Saccharomyces cerevisiae S288C: one gene and its partners. The gene in region 1 interacts genetically with each later gene. Each region holds a gene or a part of one and is shown on either strand. Other genes may lie near its edges.

Region 1 (4,301 bases):
GTGCCTGATCCGCTAAGAATAAACGAATCAACGCCAAATGGTGTAATTTTGTCTATTCGAGTATCATCAGAGGCATCTTCCAACTGGATATAGGTGTTGTTAGAGTAATAAACTAATCCATGTGAGCTTGTTTCTGGACCTATTTCTTTAGTGAAATTTTGTTGGCCTGTGTACTCGTAAAAAGATAAGGCGTCCACACCCCCGAGGATTTGTACTGCGTTGCTATTATTTTGCGATATATTCAAATTCGGTAGCACATTATCTTCGATGTCCAGAAGAGATTTAATATTCTCCAACTGTGATGCCTTCGATATCTCCACAAGAAAAGGAAATGCGAGTGTCCAGAGACGATGAACAAACATTTAATTTCTATATCGTAACGAAGAACAGGTGTATTTTGATCGTTTTCTCTTGCGTTTCTTCGTTTCCCGGTCAATCAACTGTATAAATATAAAACGAAAATTGTATTATCTTCTCCTACAAAGTCTAGTATGGGGATGATTAAAGCGCACACTTTCCTTCGAGACTTCTGATGATGACATTTCCACATTTCCATATATTTCTTTTTTTGTATCGCGAAAAAATGGGAAGAATGGCGTTTCTAACCACTAAAAAAGAGGAATTTTTGCCTAATTTGGGAATTTGTCAATAAAAATGTAAAACATATGAGATGTATTATTGCCTGCGGAAGATTCTTAAAAACATGACAAAATCCAAATTGAAAATGACCTGAAGGTCTCGACTTTTCGGATTTTCATTGTTGCTATGTAAATCTATAGTTAATTATATCCAATTCTGGTAACCAAACCTGTGCTTCGTACACCAATCGGGACCATGCTCATAGTATTCTTCTCTTGTGACCCTCGCTTTTCGGTAGGAATCTGTCTTTGCAAACTGTGACATCACTTCCCACCCAAACAGAGCACAGTCACCTTCGGGCACCGAAACATGACAAGTCCAATCTGTGGGTAATTGCCTTTGTAGTTCTGCCGCAAGCCGTTGGGCGAAATTGGGCAGATTAAAGTTTCCTCCTGTACATACAATGTTTCCTACCATAAGAGGTCGCACTATTTCGGGCAACATGGAAAGGCTCTCTAGGATGGCCTCCACAATGCCTGGTTTAGTAATTTGCGAAATTTCTGGATGGAAAAAAGTTTCTGGTATTGTGAAAAGCTCATCTGTCAGTGTTATGATCTGCGCATCTTCAGGTAACGGTACATTTTCTTTTCTGGGGTTTCTTACGTAACCAAGAAAGCTTGTTTGGAAGTCAGGAAGTACATATTCTAGTGCATGCTTATCCTTCGTTTTGAAACTATCAAAATAAGACACCGGGCTAACGAACAAGCATTGTTCCTTGATATTGTTAACAAGTATGGTTTCATCCATCATATTGTAGTGTCTGAATGATAGAGTTTCCTTTAGTAGCCCAGTTAGGAAACGGCCTCCAATGTCCAATTTTTTTACCGCTTTATAGTACGGTATTCCCTTCAGGACAGGAATTATCCAAGTACAATTAAACCCGGAATCAATAACTAATTGGAAATCATGATAATCGCTACCTGAATCCTGCGCATTCTTGGACTCGCTTGATGTGGAATTTGTACTGTCTGAGTTGCCACGGACAATATCGATATCTTCGTCCTTACCTGAAATTGTTCTCATTTCACCCTTATATGACTTGGTAAATGGTACAAAGACTGCTACAGGAGACTTGAAAAGACTGTCGAATTCATATTCTTCAAATATCACCTGGTCGGCATGCTTACTTAATTCTGGTAAAGTCATACAGCTCTCGCTAGCAACCAAATGATGACCCTTTCCCTCTTTCAGATCAAACCCATCAAACTCTGAAGGATTGAAAAGGCAATAATCCCATATACAACTCTCTAATTCCCATAATGTGAGCTGTCCTAGTTCATGTGGCCTCCTGAAGGTGATAGATGAAATATCTTTGATGTTTTTGATATGATTTGATAAATACGATGTCCCAAATTTATCTTTGGCCAATGCATTTAAAGCTCGGAACGGTTTCTTATTCGTGGAAGGACCAAACTTGATTTCGTATGAGCCATTATCAATCACAATGGGTGGTGTTTCCATAGTTTAAATTATCTTGTCCACGATTCTGCGCTTCTTCTCCTTTGGTCTTGCATTAATTCTCTTGTTCTTCTTGGCCCATTTTGAAATGCATTTGTAATTATGGACGGAAAGTAAACTGTTTACAATAATCACGAAAATACATATAGGTTTACATTATCTACACACTGGAATCGATTTCATACCATAAAAGAGGCCCTATAAGAAGCCGCATCACCTTAAACACTAACCACGTGCAACCAACAGAATATATTTGATGTCTGATAGTCCATTGAGCAAAAGACAAAAGCGGAAGTCCGCCCAAGAACCAGAATTATCTCTTGATCAAGGTGATGCCGAAGAAGATTCGCAGGTAGAAAACCGAGTTAACCTAAGCGAGAATACACCAGAGCCGGATCTTCCTGCGTTGGAAGCATCTTATTCCAAATCTTATACTCCCAGAAAGCTTGTTTTAAGTTCTGGGGAAAATCGGTATGCCTTTTCTCAACCTACAAACTCAACAACCACGTCATTACATGTACCGAACTTGCAACCACCAAAAACCTCTTCTAGGGGTCGCGACCATAAGTCCTACTCTCAATCACCACCAAGGTCTCCAGGAAGATCGCCAACTAGAAGATTAGAATTGCTCCAGCTTTCGCCAGTGAAAAATAGCAGGGTTGAACTACAAAAAATTTATGATAGGCACCAGTCGTCGAGCAAGCAACAGAGCAGACTATTTATTAACGAACTAGTCTTAGAGAACTTCAAGTCCTACGCTGGTAAACAAGTAGTAGGACCCTTTCATACTAGCTTCTCGGCCGTGGTAGGCCCCAATGGTTCAGGTAAATCAAATGTCATCGATTCCATGTTATTTGTATTTGGATTTAGAGCGAACAAGATGAGACAGGACAGATTGTCGGATTTAATTCATAAATCAGAAGCTTTCCCAAGTTTGCAATCATGTTCCGTAGCTGTACATTTTCAGTACGTTATTGATGAATCTTCGGGTACTTCCCGAATCGATGAAGAAAAACCTGGATTGATCATTACAAGGAAAGCCTTTAAAAACAACTCATCGAAATATTACATAAACGAAAAAGAAAGTAGCTACACAGAGGTGACAAAGCTTTTAAAGAATGAGGGTATTGATTTAGACCATAAACGATTTTTAATTCTACAAGGTGAAGTAGAGAATATTGCTCAAATGAAGCCTAAAGCAGAAAAAGAGAGTGACGACGGACTACTGGAATATCTGGAGGACATAATTGGAACTGCAAACTATAAGCCGTTAATTGAAGAGCGAATGGGACAGATTGAGAATCTAAATGAAGTTTGCCTGGAAAAGGAAAATAGATTTGAAATTGTTGATAGAGAAAAAAACTCTTTAGAGTCAGGGAAAGAAACGGCGTTAGAGTTTTTAGAGAAGGAAAAGCAGCTGACGCTTTTAAGATCAAAATTATTTCAATTTAAATTGTTGCAAAGCAACTCTAAACTTGCCAGCACCTTGGAAAAGATCTCCTCTTCGAATAAAGACCTCGAAGATGAGAAGATGAAATTTCAAGAATCTTTGAAAAAAGTGGATGAGATTAAAGCACAACGTAAGGAAATAAAAGATCGAATATCATCTTGTAGCTCGAAAGAAAAGACCCTGGTTTTAGAAAGAAGAGAATTAGAAGGCACCAGGGTGTCTCTAGAAGAGAGAACAAAAAATTTGGTAAGTAAAATGGAAAAAGCAGAAAAGACTTTGAAATCCACCAAACATTCAATATCGGAGGCCGAGAATATGCTTGAAGAGCTTCGTGGACAACAAACCGAACACGAGACGGAGATCAAAGACTTGACTCAATTGCTGGAAAAGGAACGAAGTATACTTGATGATATTAAACTATCTTTGAAAGATAAAACGAAGAATATATCTGCAGAGATTATTCGGCATGAAAAGGAACTGGAGCCTTGGGACCTCCAACTTCAGGAAAAAGAATCACAGATACAATTGGCTGAATCCGAACTATCTTTGTTGGAGGAAACTCAAGCTAAACTGAAAAAAAACGTTGAAACTTTAGAAGAAAAAATTCTTGCCAAGAAAACACACAAGCAGGAGCTACAAGATCTTATCCTCGATCTGAAAAAGAAGCTGAACTCACTTAAAGATGAAAGGTCGCAAGGTGAAAAGAATTTTACTTCTGCTCATCTAAAGTTAAAAGAAATGCAAAAGGTTTTGA
Region 2 (3,645 bases), on another chromosome or scaffold:
AGCAGATTTACCAACACCACCACCACCAACGACGACTAGCTTGTACTCTCTTATGTTCGACTTGTTCAAAGGCATTTTTTTTTCTGTATATCTCCTTTCAATTCGAAAACGGTTAACTTGGTTTTTTTATCCGTAATTCTCTCGTATCTTTCTGCTCAAGTAATTTTCTCCTAGTTGATTAATATAGTGCAGAAGAGTCAGATAAAGAGTGGATGAATAAAATGGAAAAAAAACAAAAGCCGGATTGCGTTACGCTTGAAATGAGCGATTCTAGGCGATAAGAGAAGACAACGGCTAAAACTTAAGATGTTGGGGTACTATAAATGTTTACCCAGATTTTCGGTAGAAATGTTTGCTGATGTGAACCTTGTTTCCCGTTTTCCCAGATCCCCTTATTCCAGCTTTGTTTCGTCTTTGCTGTCATGTTCCGTTTAATTTCTGAAGGCCTGCCTAGCTTCACCGTCCTAAATGTCACGCTCCAGGCAGAGACATGGCGCAGGGGCGAGGCCAGGGGCAAAGGGGTCAGGCAGGAACCTCCAAGGGGGGCGAGGTGAATGAAAAGGTCCTTCTGAATAAAAAGCCTAAGCGATTAGCCACACCACCCACTGTACGGCGATTAGACTGAGCTGCTGGCGCTGCTACGCCGTGACAAGTCATTTCATCATTTATTACGTTTTATCGTGCCGTCATCACCATCGATTTGAATATTTTATCTAGACCGGTAGGGCCCAAGTATCTTGCAGATCCATTGATACGGCCACGCCCGTTAAAACGCTAAGATATATATATATGTAGCTAAGATATATATATATGTATATATTCGGTATTTAGTAGATATTTCCTTAAGGCGATATTCGCCCGAGAGCTATTTCACAGTTTTTTTTTGCAGTCGTCGCAATACCACTTGCCCTTAGGTAGAGTTTCGAGTCCAATACATGGCAAATGGAACCATTCTAGCTCACAGTCTGCGCCATCACACCCCACCATTTCCCCGTATGCCACTTGGTTACAGTAGCAGTAGAGCGGTTCGCCGTAGTCGTTGGTTTTTGGTCTTGATATCCTGCTGTTGTTGCTGTTTCCGACGCTGCTAACTCCCCTGGACGCTGTAGATGTACCTATCCTGCCATTATTGACGGCAGTTGCCGTGCTGATAGTGCTTGGTGAAACGGCTGTGGTGGCAACTCTCCTCTTGCGTTTTTTGGTCTCTGGATCGGCGTTGTTGGTATTGGCAGCGTTGGCTCTTTTTCTTGAGTTTGTGTTGTTACCAGTGTGGTCTTGGCTCTCGTGCCTGCTGCCTCCGTAGTTTGCGTCGTTCTTTGAGTCGTCTTGTTGGTGTGTGCTGGCGGAGTAATGTTCGCCCTGCCTCCTGTTGGCAGCCATGGCTTCTCTTCTTGATTCGCTCTTCAGTGCCTGCGACGATTTGCTGTTTGATTTGCTCTCTATTTTTTCCATTAGTTCATGATGGAGGTGCATTGCTGGATGGTTGTCCACACCCAGTCTTAAACCTCTAGGAATTTCTGTGTTCTTGATTGCGACTTCATACGCCAATTCTAACCGGGACGTCAATCTGTCTAGATTATCCAGCATAATGGATGAGACATGCATTTTCTCCTCCAGCGATGGCATCAGTTCTTCATAAATCTTGTTGATATTATTGAGCAGTCTTACTTGTGTTTGGTGATCTTTATTGAAGTCTTTCTTCAAGAACTTATCTATCCTCTCGTTCAAATTCGGCATAGAATGCACACATTTTGCATCTATTTCGTGTAGTAATGTTAAATATCTGGAGGTGGCCAGTGGGAATTCCTCCAGCACGTCAGTTATGTCGTTTAATCCAGGGAATAGGTTCGCTGGTGAACTCATTTGTACGTATTTCAGACTATGAACGTGGTTGCTGTTTGTGATACTGCAAGACTACAAACTTTTCTCCTTCCGGGTTCGTCCTGTTGTAAACGCCTAACTCTTTTCCTTAGGCTCCTTTTTCGTTTTTTCCCTAGCTCTTTCTTTCTTCTTCATGTGCATGCACTCTTTCCTACATATTTTTTTTTCAAGGGCATTTTTAACTTTCTTCGGAAATCGTCTAAGAATTGTAAACTATAATTGCAAATACGCGATTAGCTCTATCTAGAATACCGAAAAAAAGGTTTGCCACTCACAATTGGACGTGCCTCAATTATTTCAAGTATACGTCATTTGGGCTTTTGACTTGTAAAATATACTCAAATGAAATTCTGATTATACAAAGTTGAAACACGTAACACGCCATGTCAAGGTACGCGTAGAGGTAAGCAGATAATGCATGGACAATGTGCTGGGCGAAGAGGCGGATCTAATTACACATACTTGGGATCATCTAAGATTTCAGATGGTTATGTTAATGCTCACTTGTTCCACGCCTTTTTCCTTTCCTTCAGATAAGTAATCCGCATATCAATGTGAAAGAACTAACGGTTGTTGATGGACGTATCGTTGTCTAGCGATAAATAATGCTTTTTCTTCAACAAATAAGTGGTTGTTTGGCCGAGCGGTCTAAGGCGCCTGATTCAAGAAATATCTTGACCGCAGTTAACTGTGGGAATACTCAGGTATCGTAAGATGCAAGAGTTCGAATCTCTTAGCAACCATTATTTTTTTTCCTTTTTATCTGATTGCAGCGAGAACTTGGGAAATCAACCCAATATGTATTCCAAAATGTCAAAACACCAATTAAAGCATCTCTATATTGACAGATACAAAATATATTTAAGTATACATTCATAATTATTTTACTCGAATTAAAAAAGCCCACTTTTTGGAAACCTCCTTTTGTATTCTCATAACTATGTTTCTTTTTTTATTATTTTTTCTTAATATTATTTTCTTTAAGTATGACAAATGATGAGAATGATAGTTATCTCACTATTTAGTTGGTCTGGCTTGGAATTTCAAAAACAATTTGTTTGCCAGTCAACTTGTTGTAGACAGCTTGGAAAGATTCCAACTTGTAGTCGATTTGTTGAACATCCTTGGAGTCTAACAAAACCTTTTGGATCTTGTTACCACCAACCAAATATCTAACTCTTTTACCGACAATTTCAGTTGGGAAAACCATGTCTTCCAAAACCTTGTCGTGAACAGCAGTCAAAGTTCTGGATCTTGGTCTCTTTTGGACTTGTCTAGATGTTCTAGATGGTTTTGGCAAGATTCTTCTTTCAGCCAAGAAAATAACATGACGGTCAGGGAATTTCTTTTCCAATTCACGGGTCAATTTGGTTTGGACCTTATGGTATGCAGACAAAGCTGGAACTGGGACAAAAAGGACTAGTGCTTTCTTACCACCGGTGACATCAATCTAAACAATAAGAATCAAGCAGCGTTGAAATAAAGTTAGTAACTGAATTGGTTCATTCATAACAAAAAAGGGTTTGTGATTCTTCTCCTTGGGGTAAGGTCTTTTTCGCGTGCTTCTATTTTATTCATCGATATTGGTACTGACCAAGGAGGCCTTTATAGTTCAAAGGCTCATCGCAACGTTCATGGTATTGACAGCTCTCGGAATTACTATTTTTCTCGAACACATGAAAATTTCATACAGATACTGCTCAAAATCACTCTTTTTTGAAAAAATTACTGCAAAGAACCCCTTTAGAAGAAATCACAATGTTG
Region 3 (3,172 bases), on another chromosome or scaffold:
TTGGAAAGACTGTTAAAGATGGCCCATTTTATACCGGATCAATGAGCTTGATAATAGATCAACAGGAAAACAGCAAGAGCGGTAAACGCAAACCCAACATAATCCTAGACGAAGACGATACTAATGATGGCATTGAAAGATATTCCGATAAATATTTGAAAAAAAGGAAAATAGGTATTTCTATTGATGATCATCCGTATAATTTGAACCTCTTTCCCAATGAATTGTACAATGTAATGGGGATCAACAAGAAAAAATTATTGGCAATCTCCAAGTTTAATAATGCCGATGATGTTTTTACTGGTACAGGTTTACAAGATGAAAACATCGGACTATCCATGCTGGCAAAGTTAAAGGAGTTGGCAGAAGATGTGGATGATGCGTCGACGGGTGATGGGGCAGCAAAAGGAAGTAAAACAGGCGAAGGAGAAGATGATGATTTGGCGGATGATGATTTCGAAGAAGATGAAGACGAAGAAGATGATGATGATTATAATGCTGAAAAGTATTTCAACAATGGTGACGATGATGATTACGGTGATGAAGAGGATCCAAATGAAGAGGCCGCCTTTTAGTTGAAAATTTATACCGCTTTACCATATTTTTGGATATTCTTCAAAGCAGAATTTGTACAATTAGCATTTTTCTTTATGGTTTAGATCGGCGGTGAGGGCGCAACAGATTTATGTATACATATTGAAATAATAAAATTTAAAAAAGAAAAAATCTTGGTAAACATTAAAAATCTTAATTCTATTTAAATATTAGTATTACAATAACAGCATGTTTCTCTTGTCATTAGCTGAGCCTTGGAGGTGGTCTTTTTCTTGTAGGAGACATCGAATTCTTCCTCGAATTAAAATTGGAATTCGAAGTAGTCGGTAGAGGTGGTAGTTTTGGAGAATTCAGGCCTGATGGATGAGGATGTGAGTTAGGCGAAGAGGAATCTAGGCGTGAGGGTCTATCTCTTCTTACTAACGGCGTATTGCGCGAACTTGAATAATTGGACATATCATCTCTGGTCGGTATAGGAGGTAAGGGCGGTTGGTTATAGTTGTGGGAGACTCTATGGCTGGAAGAATAAAATGCGTCATTTTCGTCGTCATCGTCATCATCTTCGTCGTAAGACAACGAAGTTACACCAATAGCCTTTTGAAGTGCCTCAATATCTACCTTGTTAGATTCATTTTGGCAGTTGTTTGTTGAACTATCAGGATTCTTAAATATATTTATCTTCTCCTTTAATTTCCTTAAATTGGCAAAATGGAATTTTGTATTCGAAGTGTTTGATATAGCAGTATCATTAGTTTCTAATGTAGACGTTGTACCCATGGATGCTGAAAAAGTTGGAGGTAAAATTATTGGGTCATTACTATTTGCCAATACCGCTGTATCTGATTTAGATGACATGGAGAAAACATTGCCATTTCTGTAGGGCTGTCCCTCATCCTTATCCTCGTGACTTGTGCTAACACACTGGGGAGTAATCTGTCTCATCGTAGAACCATGAACATAGTCATACTCTGATTCTGTTGGCAATGGTGGTATCGGCCTCATAGCCATAGATGAATCCAACCTGTCCATTTCTTTGTTAAGATCGTCCCTGTTTAAACGAGGTACTTTGGGAGTGAAAGTCAACTCAATGAATATAGTGCCAGCAAATTCATCCCCACTTCTTTTCAGTTCGTACCAGGTACAATAACCCTCCTTCGGGTCTGCTCTAATAGCATTTAAAAGGTCTATTTCACATCTTCCAATTGGCAGCGGAGATTTTTTCCTTCTATCGCAGTAAACTTCGACGTACATTAAAGGCTTTATCTCTGGAGTAATATCAAATTTTTCTAAATAATGGAAAACAGGGTTTTGACCTGCTCGATGTAGAGTGTTGCTGGCTCTTGTCATATGAGCTATTCGCAACCTAAGCATTACATTTTGCTTGTCCAGTTTATTCAAATTAGGCAAGTCTCTAGCTTTGCTCACATATACGGAGAGGATTCCTTGGTTTCCATTCCATACTTCTTCGGACATTCGACAGTGACTCAACGAGTTAACCCAATTCCAGTTGTGAAACCTAAGGTCTCCGAATTCTCTCGTACTATTAACATACCTTTCTATGTTTTTATCTAAATCATATGAGGAACGCTAGGCCGTCATTCATGATCAGCAGAGGCGGCTTTTCATACAATTTTACAGGAAGCTAAGTACTTAGAGGACTTATGCTCTGTTTGGTCCTGCGGAAACTACCAGAATACACAACGCCAAGAAACTAACAGAGGACCATTATGGAACTGTTACCACAGGGACAAAGGAACAACACTCAGGTAACGTTCGAAGATCAGCAAAAGATCAACGAGTTTTCGAAGTTGATTATGCGTAAGGACGCCATTGCGCAGGAATTGAGTTTACAGAGGGAGGAGAAGGAGTACCTCGATGATGTGTCTCTAGAAATTGAATTGATTGACGAAGATGAGCCCGTGCAATACAAGGTGGGCGACCTCTTTATCTTCATGAAACAGAGCAAAGTTACCGCACAGCTCGAAAAAGACGCAGAACGTCTCGACAACAAAATAGAGACTTTAGAGGACAAGCAAAGAGACATTGATTCCCGTCTTGATGCTCTGAAGGCGATCCTGTATGCTAAATTTGGTGATAATATCAACCTTGAACGTTAGAACACTCATTAAAGTGTGGGCTGTGGGTGTCTCCACAAAATGAGTAATGAAAAATTTTTAATTTTTTCAGGAGGGAAATTAAAGAAAAGTAAAGAACATGATAATAAAAAGCAAGTTTAAGTTATTGTGTATGAGATAGAGTTTTTTTTGTATACCTTTGTAATCCGCATATATTCCTAAGTACCTTTTTTTTCAGACAGAAAAAAAGAGTTTCTTTACGGAAATTACTTCTTTCGTTTGATATTGTTTTTCTCTTTCGAGATTTAAGAACGTGGTTGTGTTTCGTGTTTCTGTGCAGATCATATTAGAAAGTTTTTTTCTCCATTTTGATAGACAAAACTTGTTGTTTCTACTGAACACAGCATATAAGCCAAGAAAATAGTTTTCCAAAAATGTCTCAAGTGCAAAGTCCTTTGACAGCAACGAACTCTGGTTTAGCTGTCAATAATAACACAATGAACTCACAAATGCCTAACCGTAGCAATGTTAGATTGGTCAAT
Region 4 (4,172 bases), on another chromosome or scaffold:
CATGCGTCGCCGATTGAAGCTCCTCCCAGAATTAGCGGTGAAACCCTTATGCCGGCAGTTTTAGAAAGAACCCTGAGACGTCCCAATTCGGTAGGTGGTTCAGGTAGAGGTTTAAACAAGTCAGTCATGCTGAATAGTGGTTTTTTATGCAATAGACAATATGTTAAGTAAAATACAAAGCCGTTCAGCTAATTGGTTAGCTAGTTAATGAAGAGAAGAACAGCATGCATCCTTGACTTGGAAATATTGTCATACTTAAATATGGTTGGAAATTTTGCCCCCCGGTTTCCTTGAATACGAACAATGCAACTTATTTGAGTCTTCGTACGAGATCTGCTTACTGGTTTTGTACAGCGCTGAAAGCGAATTTGAAAATATATGCAATTAGAAGAGAGTGAATCAGATGAGGATAGGGTTAATACTGTAAAATTATTACCAAATATTGAATGACATATAAAAGTCGTAGTAACCGAATTTGTTTTTTATTATGAATAAAGACTTCTTGTTTTCGCATACTTCGATGATTTAAGAAATTAAAAGTCATTTACCCAGGCGTGATTATAAATTATATTGGCACCGCTTTATCAACAGCGGTGGGACGAGACGTTTAGATAGTAATTACAATAGAAATACAACTGTTTCAATATTAAAATATCTCTAGTATGTAAATAACACATATAGGCAATTTTCTTCGAAACGTATGGGACGCGGTTGATGTATGAACGGAACGCATCAATTAAAGGTTTGAGAAAAGTCTTTTGCAAAAAAATTGAGTTTGCACTTCTCATACACAATTGGATAGCGTCTTAAGTGCCTTTTATTCACTTTTCTTCTTTTGTTTCACATTATTTATATTCGTATATACTTCCAACTCTTTTTTTCAATAGAATTCATTGTCATGCTCAACATGTAGGTCCCTCGCATATTGCGAACCACCCTTCGTATCTTTAGCCTCGGCAGAATCTTCTTCAACATCACCCAAATCTTCGGCATCCCTAGGTGTGTGATTCAACTGAACACTAGGGGCATACTTTGTGTTTTCCAAATTAGCAAATATATTGGTCATTACCTTGTCAAGATATTCGGGAGTATTTACATTGAACATATTCGAAGGTCTAACACTTAACTTATAATCTGGACCGTAATATTCGTAATATTCATTGTACGGTAAATCTTTATCCAAGACAACGTTATTTAGTAGACCTGTTTCAAAGCACCATGTCCTTGCAACATTTCTCATAGTATAGCCTCCTCCACCAACAACCATCATTGGGATCCCAAAGGATTTCACATAGTTTACACAATTAGCATGGCCTTCCATGGAAAGATTAAAGCAACCAAGACGATCGCCGGACAAGGAGTCCCCACCACACTGTAACACGACAGCAGAAGGTTGATACCATTCCATAATTTTTTTTATCACAGGTTCAAACACAGATCTATACGTAGCATCGTCAATACCGTCTCTTAATGGCACATTGACCGCGTAGTTTTTTCCTGCACCCACCCCTATATCTCTCAGTTCACCTGTGCCAGGGAAAAACTCACCATATTTGTGGAAAGAACATGTCATGACACGATCCGTTGTATAAAACGCTTCCTCTACACCATCACCATGGTGCACATCAATATCAATATACAGAACTCTGGGGTGGTATCGTAGTAGCTCAATAATGCCCAGTACTATGTCATTTAAATAACAAAACCCAGAAGCTTCCGATTTTTTTGCATGATGCAAACCACCCGCATAGTTGACAGCAACATCACATTTGCCTCTATTCAGACGAGCAGCTCCTTCCATAGAGCCACCACCAGATATGCTACAGTACTCATAGAGCCCATCAAAGACAGGACAATCATCTCCGACATTAAACTTGACACTTTCTCTTTTAAACATTTCTAAATTATCTGGAGTAACCCTCGATAAAAAATCAATGTATTCATCAGTATGGAACTGACACATTTCTTGTTTCGTTGCCGGCTTAGCTCTGTAAATTTCCATCTTCTTGTACAAGCCATAATTCATAATAAGGGAATGTGCCATTCTTATTCTATGCGGCTTCATCGGGTGACCTGCTCCATATGCATAGTTCCCAACGTCTGCATCGTAAAAATATGCAACGCGTCTTTTATCGCTTGGCTTGACCGTGATCGGATCAAAAGGTGTTGCTTCATATACCATCTGCACGGATATCGAGTTGTAGCCACGAATGTTTTGTATGGCGCAATTGTTTTATGAACCTTTATGGTTATTACTTCAAATTTTTATTATGTATAATCAACTACTAGTATCTTTTCTGTTTTTCCCTTTCGATAGATACTATGAGCCGGGGAGGGTAAGTAAATAAAAAGATAAATTTCAAGGCAAAATATGGGACATATATTTACAAATTTACCTATACGCTCTGAGTTGATATTACTTAAGCACCTTCAAAATTAGCTCTCACCGCTTCATAATGATTCAGTTCAGCCCGCGACACACTTGGGGTGAGCTGCTCTTGTGCTTTCAAGAAGTCTTCCATTTTTACGACAACCTTAGTATCCTCTTTTGTCGCAATCTTATCAAACCAGCGACGTGTAGAAATATTCTCTCCCGTCAATTCGTTATGCTGAGAAACTTTTTTTTCTACCATGCGTGCAATTCTTGACATGGCGTTAAGCATTGCATCTGAGCAGAGAGCATAAAAATCTGCCCCGGTGTAATTAAATGGACATAGCTTTGCCAACTCAATAAGCTTTACGTCGTTGTCGAGCACGAATTTGCGAGTCAGAGCCTCTAAAATATTCAATTGTTTGGTATCCGTATCCGGAATGCCTAAATATAACAATTTATCGAATCGTCCTGGTCTTAGTAGTGCTTCGTCCAATAAGTCTGGTCTGTTTGTTGCTCCGATAACAAATACACCGTCAGCGTCGGTACTCATACCATCTAACTCTGCTAGTAACTGTGAAACGATACGATCCATAACACCACCCGAATCACCTTGATTACCACGTTTGGGTGCTACTGAATCGATTTCATCGAAAAATATGACACAAGGTTTAGCCTCTCTCGCCTTTTGAAACACTCTGCGCACATTAGCTTCACTCTCACCAATGTACATATTCAACAGTTCAGGGCCTTTAACACTAAAAAAATTTAAAGAAAAATTTGTTGCAATGGCCTTAGCCATTAGAGTTTTACCTGTACCCGGTGGACCATAAAAAAGAATACCGCTTCTCTTTTTCATACCTGAGGTAAATAATTCAGGATGTTTTAGCGGCATGTCTATTGTGTCCAATATTTCACCTTTAACAAAATCAATACCACCTATATCATCCCAAGTTACGTTAGGGATTTGTGGGGCACCAATCGAAACCGAGAATTCGTTCCTAGCTTTCGAAGTAGCTTTTGATAAATCCTCCTGAGTGATCAAAATTGATTGCGGAAGCCATCCACACTTCTTTGATTCTTGGTAAAAACGCGCAGTAGCCGTCATTCGTGCCGTTTCCACAATTGATTTGATGTCTAAAGGAGTTAAACCAGCAGAATATGAAGAGAGTGATGAAAATGAAATATTATCCATGTAAGATACTGGAACCTTTTGTTGAACATCTCTGTTTAGTTCATGTGAAGATAAGTACCACTGAAAGATACGCAGTCTCTGTGCTTCAGACGGAACGGGTACGAGAATCTCAAATCTCATATGTGATCTAAAGCTGGAAGGCACGTTATCTATGTTATTTACGGAGCCAACAAATGTAGTTCCTGGGAATTTAAACGTAAAATCGTCCAGAAGTTTAGACATTTCGAAGTTTATAGATTTTTGTAATTTGATTGCCTCTGGATCTTGATTAGCGTTTACGTCAAGCAAAATTGAATCCAAATGAGCCAAAAAAATCACAGCAGGTGATGCGTACGGTAGGACATTTTCACATTTAGCCCTAATGTAACCAATAATCTTAGATGTTGAATCCAGTTGTCTTGAATTTGAAGTGAGCGAAAGGCAATCTATCTCCAGTAGATGTATACCAAGATATTTTGAAGCAAATCTCACCATTGTAGCCTTGCCCACATTGTTTGTAGTGGAATGAAGTAACACAGAGGCATTTAGGGTGATTCCCCTTTGAGAACAATTGAAGGAAGTTTCTAATATGTTAACCAATTGTCTTACATAGGGGAAGATATGCAA

The links.
Region 2: mutations in ARP6 (region 1) and PHO23 impair growth when combined (synthetic growth defect), as found in Saccharomyces cerevisiae (6 studies listed by BioGRID, with this or other methods).
Region 3: mutations in ARP6 (region 1) and GIM3 together harm fitness more than expected from each alone (negative genetic interaction), as found in Saccharomyces cerevisiae (5 studies listed by BioGRID, with this or other methods).
Region 4: mutations in ARP6 (region 1) and RPD3 together harm fitness more than expected from each alone (negative genetic interaction), as found in Saccharomyces cerevisiae (5 studies listed by BioGRID, with this or other methods).

What each region holds. Positions count from the first base shown.
Region 1 is NC_001144.5:299,890-304,190, forward strand, and holds ARP6 (Arp6p), read right to left. Parts: upstream 2,101-4,301; coding exon 784-2,100; downstream 1-783. Other genes in the region: RAX2 (Rax2p), read right to left, coding at 1-362; condensin subunit SMC4, read left to right, coding at 2,354-4,301. UniProt on the Saccharomyces cerevisiae protein: Component of the SWR1 complex which mediates the ATP-dependent exchange of histone H2A for the H2A variant HZT1 leading to transcriptional regulation of selected genes by chromatin remodeling. Involved in chromosome stability.
Region 2 is NC_001146.8:440,496-444,140, forward strand, and holds PHO23 (Pho23p), read right to left. Parts: upstream 1,864-3,645; coding exon 871-1,863; downstream 1-870. Other genes in the region: Ras family GTPase RAS2, read right to left, coding at 1-75; PLS1 (Pls1p), read right to left, coding at 302-424; 40S ribosomal protein eS7 RPS7B, read right to left, coding at 2,903-3,331. UniProt on the Saccharomyces cerevisiae protein: Component of the RPD3C(L) histone deacetylase complex (HDAC) responsible for the deacetylation of lysine residues on the N-terminal part of the core histones (H2A, H2B, H3 and H4).
Region 3 is NC_001146.8:345,169-348,340, reverse strand, and holds GIM3 (tubulin-binding prefolding complex subunit GIM3), read left to right. Parts: upstream 1-2,282; coding exon 2,283-2,672; downstream 2,673-3,172. Other genes in the region: RPC31 (DNA-directed RNA polymerase III subunit C31), read left to right, coding at 1-575; INN1 (Inn1p), read right to left, coding at 799-2,028; serine/threonine protein kinase YCK2, read left to right, coding at 3,065-3,172. UniProt on the Saccharomyces cerevisiae protein: Binds specifically to cytosolic chaperonin (c-CPN) and transfers target proteins to it. Binds to nascent polypeptide chain and promotes folding in an environment in which there are many competing pathways for nonnative proteins.
Region 4 is NC_001146.8:17,121-21,292, forward strand, and holds RPD3 (histone deacetylase RPD3), read right to left. Parts: upstream 2,183-4,172; coding exon 881-2,182; downstream 1-880. Other genes in the region: AAD14 (putative aryl-alcohol dehydrogenase), read right to left, coding at 1-128; PEX6 (AAA family ATPase peroxin 6), read right to left, coding at 2,421-4,172. UniProt on the Saccharomyces cerevisiae protein: Catalytic component of the RPD3 histone deacetylase (HDAC) complexes RPD3C(L) and RPD3C(S) responsible for the deacetylation of lysine residues on the N-terminal part of the core histones (H2A, H2B, H3 and H4).